2 linked regions of the Drosophila melanogaster genome follow. The protein of the gene in region 2 interacts with the protein of the main gene of each other region in a pairwise test. Each region holds a gene or a part of one and is shown on either strand. Other genes may lie near its edges.

Region 1 (5,318 bases), on a different chromosome or scaffold from region 2:
CCAGACCTAATTCGCTGAACGTGGCCGACGAATGCTTTGAGGTAACGGAGGAGAACCTAGACGACTTCGTCAATGTGAATGTGAATCCCAATGGCAAGTCCATTTTGAGGCTGCACTCAGTGAACGCGCGGTATGTGCAGCACCTGGTGCACGAGGATCGTATCCTGGCCGTGTGCTACTCCTACATCAAGGAAGGAGTGGGTGTCAACGTGATAGCCACTGCTGTGGAGGGAGGATTCGTGCGCTTCTGGTCCAGCTGGAACCTGAGCTTCGTCAGTGAGCTGACCACGGGTACATCGCCCATTCGTAGGTAAGAGAGAAGTGGCTCCATATTCGAATAAAATACAATCTAATCCCTGCTTAACTTGCAGCATTTGCTACTCAACCCATCAGCATTTGGTGGTGCTAACGCGAGAGTCCCATATCCAAGTCTGGGAATCAGAGGGGCTCTATGGAAATGCCCCGAAATTCCCTCAAATCGTCTACAAATAATGTTAATGGGAAAATACTCAATAATTCAACTCAAAGCATATCAATGACAGACACATAAACGATCTAAGAAACAGCTGAATCAAAGAATAAATCCTTTTAAAAGATATAAAATACAACATTCGCTGGCGACAGCCACAAAATTAATATATCACAAGATTCCTAGGCTTAGGTCTCATAGAGCTGTAAAATACACCTTTTGTACCAAAACTTTATATTATTATTACATTTAAAATTTTCACCTTTGTTTTTCCCGTGCTGCATACAAATGCCACGCTGCCTTCAATTGTTGATATTATCAAATAAACAATCATATTTTGCAAAAACTAAACTATTTACTTTCAGAATTCCATAGAAAAATATACAACTACAATGTCCATTGTAGCGGCCATTCAAAGAGGCAGTCATTCTTAAAAAACTACAGGTATTACTAGATAGAATATTACTTGTCGAAAGCATCTCTCGTTGTCAGCACTTCCAAGGTGGAGGCTTACTGTTGCCACTTCCGCTCTTTGGTTTGCTTTGTTTGCTACCCTGTTTGGATGTCATGGCCAAGATCTCGTCGAGCCTGTCGAAATCACTGGGCGACTTGCTGAGCAGCAGTTCAATGTAGGCCTGCAGCTTGTCCATCGGCGAGGGGGGATCCCGTTTGCCCACCACATCCAGGTTATTCTTCTCAGTGTTGTTGCTGCGCTGCGATTTGCTCGATTTGGGCGTTTCTGGATACATGCGTGCATTATTTAGCTCCGGAGATTCACTGGCTTCAGTGTCACTGGATTGGATAATGGAGTTTTGACTAGGAGTGGTGAGGATAGCAAGGGCCTGCTGCCACTGGGCCTCCATTACCCCATGCAGTTTCTCCGCAATATCAGCACTGGAATGGAAAAAAAAACCATTTCTATTTAAACCAGAAAACAAATAAGGCTCTCATATCTTACCGCTTTGTTTTGTAACAGCTGAGCTTGAGATCCATTTCATCGATCTTCTTCGAGGCATTCGCTAGTTGAAGGCGGTACAGCTCCACCTCCTCGTTGTGCTTTTCCTGGATGAGATTCAATTCCTGGTTGTTTTTCTCATTGATCATTTCAAGCTGCTTTACTGCCCGCTCGGCTATGAGTCGTTCACGCTCCCGAGCTTCGTTCTTTAAATGCTCCTCATTCTTGTCCAGTTGGTCCTGGAACTCCTGCATCTTCTTGGCCACAACATTTTCCATTTGCTGTTGGTAGTATTGCTTTAGGGATTTCTGCTGTATATCTAGCTTCTTCTTGAGATTGGTCTGCAAAACAACAATCATTTATTATTGAGTTCTTTTTTTTTTTGTATTTATTTTTAAATAACCTCAGTTTCAGTTAGGTTCGCCAGAGTTTCTTGTAGGGATTTACGATGGCTCTCCAAGGAATCCGCTCTTGCTTTCTGCTTCTGATGATATTCTTGCAGCATTTCCTTTTGATTGGTCAGCGTGTTATTTTCCTTCTCCAGTTCCTCTATCCGCGCTTTTAGCTTATATATAAGAAATGTGGTTAAAGTGGCCGTGGTTGAAATCTTATTTTTAAATTACCTTTTCTTGTTGGTAGTCTACCTTGGCAAACTTATCCCTTAGCTTATTCAGCTCGGCATGTGACAGCTCCTCCGCTCTTTTGCTGCTGTTGAGTTGCATTTCCAGTTGCTCCAGTCTTTCTTCCCATTGCTTGGCGTCTTGCCTGCAATGGTCCAACTCCCTTTCGAGTTTATCATTCTTTTCCTGAAACCTGGTGGCCAAGTTGACCGCCTGCGACAACTCGTTCTGCAGTGCATCAAACCGGCTCTGGGATTCGCCCCTGTCCGCTTCCAGCCGGTGGACAGCGTCCCGCAGGTGCTGAACCTCGTAGTTGAGACTTTGAACTGTTTGCTCTGCCTCGGTGAGAGCAGCATCCTTCGAACGATCCACCTCGATGGCCACTGAGATTCGCTGCTGGTACTCCAAAAGATGCGACTGCAGTGTGTGCACCATTTTCTCCAGATGCTGCCTTCTGAGTTGTTCCTCTTTTAGGGAAGAGCTGCACAGTGGTCGGTTGGGCGAGTTGTTGTCGAGTACAGTTTTGGTCAAGCTGCTCTTGCCCCAGAGCTCGCTCAGACTTATGATCTTGTTCTCATTCAGGCTGCTTCGATCGACCCTGGCTGCTTCGACAGAAACGGCGCCGGAGGATGATGAGGCCAGCCTCATGCTGGGCAGAGACGAGGTTCCCGGATGACCCTCTTTCCCCGCCCGCTCGTTCCTCAGATGATCGTCGCTGCGGTGATGCAGGTGGTGATCGTGCCTCTGCCAACGGTGCGCATTATTGTCGTCTAGGTAGTGGTCGATTTCGAGCAGAATGTTGTCGTCCAGTGGTCGATGGCGGAGGGGCTCAACGGACCCACTCTTCGGCGTGGAGTGCACCATGCCGTGGAGCTCCCTACTTGGCCTTCCAGCGTTCCTTACAGTATTCGTGGATATGGTGGAAATGTCCGAGGGAGGCTCCTCCGCATCCAGTGCGATGTTCTGCAGCCGGGAATTGATGCTATTCAGCTCCGATTTCTTGCTGGGATGTAGGAACTGGTACGCTGCACTTGTGGTCGCCGGGGGAGGGGGCGGGGGCATGGCCAACGCATCTGCCGCCGCGCATGCGCTCATTTTGTCCTCCGCGCAGAAGTTCGGTGGTATCAGGAGCAGCAGATCGGTGTCGTCCGTATCGGTATCACTCATGCCTCATGGTTAACTGTATTAATAGTATGCTTATAGTACAATAATTGTTGTTTCAAAACAAAAGTGAAACTAACCACCGATTGCCATGGTGATGCACAGGGTTGCCAGGTGCACGTGGCAATGCAGGATTATCGAAAACAATGGACTATCGGTATATCACTATTCAGTGTGTCAAAACAAAAACTAAAGCTCGATATTCTAGTCTTCACAAGGCACTATATAATTTTAAAAATAATATACGTTGTTAGTCTTATTTTGCCTTTTGGCATATCTGTTGTAATTAACACTACCGTATATATCGCCTGTTTTTGGCGCCCATTTCAAGTGTGACCGTTCAGTGCGTTTGTTGTTTCCATTTATTGTCTTGTTTTTTTTTTTCGTCCTTCAGTTTTGAAGGAACTGCCGCCAGGATGGCAGATGTAAGCCTGTTTTTTGGCGGTTTGCCGGCCATTCTTCTGAAAGCGGATACCATTTACCGCATTGGGAGGCAGAAGGGCCTGGAAATAAGCATCGCCGATGAGGTAAATTGGCCCTTACTTAAACATTTCCCCTTTAATAACTCCTATCCTCAATGGGCAGTCAATGGAGCTGGCCCACGCCACAGCCTGCATACTGCGCCGAGGTGTGGTGCGCCTGGCTGCCCTGGTGGGCAAGATCTTTGTGAACGACCAGGAGGAGACCGTGGTGGACATCGGCATGGAGAACGCCGTGGCCGGCAAGGTGAAACTCCGCTTTGGCAATGTGGAGGCCAGGCTAGAGTTTGGAGAAGATCACGATGAGGTATGGGCACCAAATACCATTCTTACAGGATGCATAACTTAATGCTTACCCTTCGTTCAGGTCCACGACAGTAGCGGATTCGGGGAATGCCTGAAGAACGGATTAAACAACACAACCTTGGACAGCATGGATGTTCCGGAAACACAGCCTCCATCCGCCAACACATCAGTCAACACAACGGCAGATAGCTTATTTATACCCGAGACCCAAGCGGTGTTATGCGAAAGGCCTTCGACCGGACAAAGAGTGTCGCTGGGCGATGACTTCATGATACCCGAAACGCAGGATATGCTTGCGGATCTTCCACCTGAACCACCAGTGTTTAAACCCCCGGTTATTCCCGTAGTTGATAAGCCAGGTCCGACGATAGACAGCGATGAGGAATCATCTCAGGGCAGCATTATACGCATGTGCACCCAGGATTATAATGAGGATGCCATCGATGACTTCGATACCTCACAGGTACTCTGCGATGTTCTGCTGCCTCTTCCGCCGCCAACAGCACCAATTGAAGGTCTGGAAAATCAGGATACTAAGCGGGGTATGTGCATCCATTGAAACTGATAACTTTCAATAATGTGCGCTTTCTTCTTAGATCAACTGGACACCACCGACATGGAAATGAGTGCCTTGAACTGGTCGGCTAGCAATTCCAAATGCTGTGCTCTGAGTAGCACCAAAGCGGATGATATATTGCCGCGTGGCGATGCCTGCATTACTCCCGATTTGACCGCTCCGTCCGTAGATAGAAATATCTGCACACCCGATCTATTTGACCTGATCATGGGGGGGGATAGGAGGCGCGATGGCTCCAGCAGTCCAGATCCGTTCGTTCGTCCTGCGGACAATACAAATACCGCCACACCGCAGTTTGGCGGAGTTAAACAGCTGGTTGTGGCGACGATTGAGACCCCCACTGCCACTCCTGACACGAATAGTCAGGAAAAGAATCAAGATATGATAGCCACTCAACGATTTCCACGACATAAATTGTTGGAAAGTGACGAGGAAGACAATGGGCAAAACAACCAAGACTTCGTGGCTACTCAGGCGTTTAACTTAGGACGTCCGCAGGCACCACAAGAAAATGAAGCCAATCAAGATCTCATAGCGACACAGGCATTTAACTTGGCACCGCCACAAAAAGTTGATTCACCTAAACCCTCTACAGCTAATGATGCTTCCAACCAAGATTTTATAGAAACTCAGGCATTTAACTTAGGAATCCCACAAGCAAACATGGCTTCACCAGAAAATAATGAGATTTCCAACCAAGATTTGATAGCCACTCAAGCATTTCCCGCCAAGATCAATAGCTCTCGTTGCC
Region 2 (4,161 bases):
ATTGTATTATCTTGAGAACAAACTTCACATGGGCATGATGGACAACAATGGCGTCGGCAAGCTGACACAAGAATCTCTAAAACGCAAGGAGCGTCTGCAAAAACTCCGGGAACAAGTGCAAAACAAAGGAGGAGACGCTGCCGAGTCCATTGAAAAGTTACCCAAGTCAGCAATACAATGAAATGCTATTATGAATCCCTATAAACCAGTTTCATATATCTTTGCAGACCAGTTTTCCGCAGCTACAAGCCCCAGAATGAGACCACCGATGGCGAGATTCTAGCACAGGAACCCACGGGCAACATAGAATCAGCTGTGGAGGATCAATTGAGTCTGCTCCAGCAGCCCATGGTGATAGATGAGATTGACATAACCAACCTGGCTCCCCGAAAACCCGACTGGGATCTGAAGCGGGATGCCAGCAAAAAGTTGGAGCGACTGGAACGACGTACCCAGAAAGCTATTGCTGAACTCATCCGTGAGCGACTGAAACTGAACCAAATGGAGGATATCAGCCAAGCGGTGAATGTGGCCACGGCTCATGCAGGTGAAAGTGTTCAGGAGGATTATGACTAGAGCTGAATAATACAACTAACTTTACTAAACTGGTACAAAAAACGAAAAAATGCATTAACAATAAGTAAAACTATCGCCGATTTTCTTTGCCCGTGGGTATTGCAAGCCGTTCTTTTAGAATGAGGATTTCTGAAAAGAGCAAGTTGTAAGTAGGTACACTTAAAGATTGGGGTCTCAGCTTACGTTTGGAATACTTCTGCTCCAGTCCCTGGGCAAAGTTACGCATGGATTGCAGTTGCTGGGGGATTTCCTCCCTCAGTTTTTCAATAGTTATTCGAGCCTCGCGCAGCTCATTCTCCCGCAGGGATAGTAGGCTCTCCTTGGCCTGAACCGCCTTCTCTTGCTGCAGAGCCACCTCTGTGCGCCAGGCAATGGTCTTTTTGAGGTTGAGCAGCTCCTGGCTTTGTTTAACGATTATCTGGTTGGCCTTGGAGATCTCCTCGGAGGCCATTTCCAAAGCCTGGCGCTTGGTGTGCAGGATCTTCTTCTCGGCCTCCAGTTCAGCGGCTATGTTGGCCTGCAAAATTAAAAGGGATATACTCTTCTGATGTGCATTATTCTTTTTATACACATACCTTCTCTTTGTTTCCCTTTTGAATATGTTCCTGCAGCTCGACAGTGTGCTGCTTGAGGTCCTCGATTTTGTACTCCAACTTGCGTTCATGCTTCCTGATATTGGCCACATCCCCGTGCAGTTTGTCATTTTGCTCTTTTAGGGTGCACACTCTGGCTTTGCAACAGGACAACTCCTCGGACAGGGTTTGACATCGTTTCTCGGCCTGCTCTTGGGCCGACTTTAGTTCTGCTTTCTCCAACGAAGCCTTGTCCAATTGGGCCTGAAAGCCGGAGATCGCTCTACGATTTCTCTCCAGCTCATTGCTGCGCTGCTCGTTTATTTTGGACAGTTTTTCCTGGTATTGATGGACCTCGGCAGCATGCTTTTCCTCTAAGATGCGAGTATTTTCGGCCAAAGCTTCCCTGATATTTGTGTTTTCCGTGGTCAACCTTTCCGCATGCGCGCGTTGTGCGTTGATTTCAGCCTGCATTTGCTGCATACTTTGCTCGAGAATATATTGCTTTTTGTGGGAGGCTTCCAGCATGCTGTTTATGTAGAAGAGTACGGTGTTCAAGGGAGCAGAACGACAAGGCAGGCTAAGGTGAACTAGGTTCTTAAAGGACCGAATTTCAACAAACTGAAGATAATAGTCGTGGACCTCCCTGCCGGATGAAAGGTTCTGATCCCGTGTGGTCAGGTGCAGCTCCAGTTTACCCGACTGGCAGTCCTTCAGCATGCGCACTACATTGTCAATGAACCCAGAGAATGACACATTCAGCGACTGATCCTGTTTAAGATCCTGAAAGGAGGCGCTGTCCACTGTGGTGATGTACATGCGCCGTTGATCGGACTTCTCCGTTAATCGGAGTTGCTGTGGGGCAGAGGATGTATTGAAATTTGATCGGAGGAGGTCTTGACAAGCATATTTACCAGCAGCTCCTTGAAGTCCACTCTCTCCGCGTACAGTAGACATGACCGTTTGCTAGACCGCGTCATTTCGCCATTAAAGTTCACCAGCATCTCTACGCTGGGCAGGATGTTCACCACGCTCTTGCCATAGTCCATTTTGGCGGAGTAGCTATCCTCGCTCCCTGGAGGCCACATGATAGATCAGGCTCGTGAGAAACCTTAATTTTTAAAATTTTAAAATTGGTAAACAAAAGTGATGGCTTGGGTCTATCGATGTCGATAGCTACCGATATGGCCGTGGAAGTAGCCATCGCTGGTCACACTGCCGGTCAGGTGCACAGTTGTCCATCTCCATTTCAATAAAAGAAAAAAACAGCGAAAAGTTGTAGAGAAAAATAAATACATGAATACTGTACGTAAGAAAGAGGCAGCGCCGCCGGATTGTCCATAGTAATCCGGAGTAATGCTAGCTTTATCCTGCAGACCGCCAAGGTGTTCGTCGGCAGCCTGCCGCGCTGCAAGCCGGAGGAGCTGCGTCGACTGTTCACCAACTATGGATCGGTCGTTGAGTGCGACGTGATGAATCGCTGCGCCTTCGTCCATCTGGAGAACACGGACATGGCGGAGGCGGCCATCGCAGCGCTGAATGGCACCATCTTCAAGGGCCAGCCCATTGTGGTGGAGGCGGGCAGGCCAAAGTACGGCCCGGGAGGTGGCAGTCGAGGTCAGCCGGGCTCTGGGGACAATCCGGGGCGCAGGCCCTCGCAGGGTAAGCTTTGATCACTCCAAAGATCCAGCATCTAAGTATTTCATCATCCTCAGTTCAAGGTGGCGGGGCGGACAAGAGACCTCATGAATCCAATACCAACTTCAAGCGCAACTTTCGTGAGGAAGTCGGTGGCAGATTCTCCAACGAAGGCCCAAGGAGCTCGAACTCCTCGGCCGCCAAATTTGGTCCCGTGAGAAACGAGTCCAACTACAGACAACAGCGCAGTGCTCCATACTCGAAAGGACCACCGAACAATGAGTCTTCCAATCAGGGACAGGGCTTTAGGAACAAATTTGCAGGCGGAGGCAAGTTCGGTGGAAGCGCGGGCAACGAGGGACGCTTCGGCAGCAATCGGTTTCAGCAGCGGGACAACAGTGGACCACAGCCTGGCAGAAGAAACTTTAAGAACAGTCCAACCAGCGGATATAGGGGAGGAGGCAATAATAGTGACTTTCAGGGAGGCAGCTCCAGCAGCGGGGGAGGAGGATCCGTAAATCAGAGGGCCGGCGGCGGCGGCCCAGGTCCAAGCCATGTGCGACAGGATCGACGTGGATTTGCCCTGCCTGTAGAGCATCAGCAGCAGCAAATGGGCTTCGGACGCTTTGGCAATGGACCAATGAACTCTGGCAATCGTGGGACTAATGGGTAAGTTGTGCATAAGATTGGGTTCTAAATTATATATAATATCTTGTTTTGCCATATAGAGGAAATCCACCGGGAGGACGTGGATTTTTCAATGGAGGAGGAGGCGGATTCAATGACAGACGCGATAGCAGTCACGAGACAAGCAGTCCCCAAGGAGGCCCAAGCAAACGCGGAGGTTCAGGAGGTAGAAATCACAATCAGAATGGCATAAATGCATATCACTCGGAGTTCCCGCCCTTGGGCAGTGGCGGCGGAGGTCCAGGCCAAAGAAACCGGTAGGTTCATTCATATCGTCTGCATAAAAACCACTAACCCCAATCATCGCCATTTCCAGCTTCAACGGGCCCAGACCCGGGCCAAATATGGGCGGCAATAGAAGATTTTAAGCAAGTGCAATGCAGCAACGATGTTTGCCAGTCCACGTGTACTCCACTTAATAATGTAATAGCCGAATTTTGTTTTTCATTGTTCCGCGCGCAGAATCTTTTAGTTAAGCCAACGACGACGACTTTTAATTTGTCCTATAGCCGTGTACTTTTAAGACCAACATCAACAGTATATTTGTTATTCGTAGTCTAAGATTGTTTCGATATTTATGCAATACTTAAATAATCATATTTCTTGTGTGCAACTAGATACGACGAGTCAATCAATCAATACAATCATAAACACCATTTGCGTTTTTAAATCATCCCGCCAAAAGATT

Evidence for each region.
Region 1: the proteins of Sas-6 (region 2) and Cnb interact in a two-hybrid assay, tested with the Drosophila melanogaster proteins (one study listed by BioGRID).

Annotation. Positions count from the first base shown.
Region 1 is NT_037436.4:1,945,753-1,951,070, reverse strand, and holds Cnb (centrobin), read right to left. Parts: upstream 3,507-5,318; 5' UTR 3,286-3,506; intron 3,225-3,285; 5' UTR 3,212-3,224; coding exon 2,048-3,211; intron 1,990-2,047; coding exon 1,828-1,989; intron 1,766-1,827; coding exon 1,428-1,765; intron 1,364-1,427; coding exon 958-1,363; 3' UTR 809-957; downstream 1-808. Other genes in the region: mv (mauve), read left to right, coding at 1-310, 372-492; mu2 (mutator 2), read left to right, coding at 3,622-3,732, 3,791-3,991, 4,052-4,532, 4,587-5,318.
Region 2 is NT_033777.3:29,993,442-29,997,602, reverse strand, and holds Sas-6 (spindle assembly abnormal 6), read right to left. Parts: upstream 2,247-4,161; 5' UTR 2,237-2,246; coding exon 2,063-2,236; intron 2,004-2,062; coding exon 1,152-2,003; intron 1,094-1,151; coding exon 760-1,093; intron 706-759; coding exon 647-705; 3' UTR 577-646; downstream 1-576. Other genes in the region: CG15525 (uncharacterized protein), read left to right, coding at 29-165, 228-576; CG7903 (uncharacterized protein), read left to right, coding at 2,445-2,453, 2,525-2,810, 2,864-3,455, 3,515-3,730, 3,790-3,841. UniProt on the Drosophila melanogaster protein: Central scaffolding component of the centrioles ensuring their 9-fold symmetry. Required for centrosome biogenesis and duplication. In ciliated neurons, required for centriole assembly but not necessary for cilium basal body and cilia function.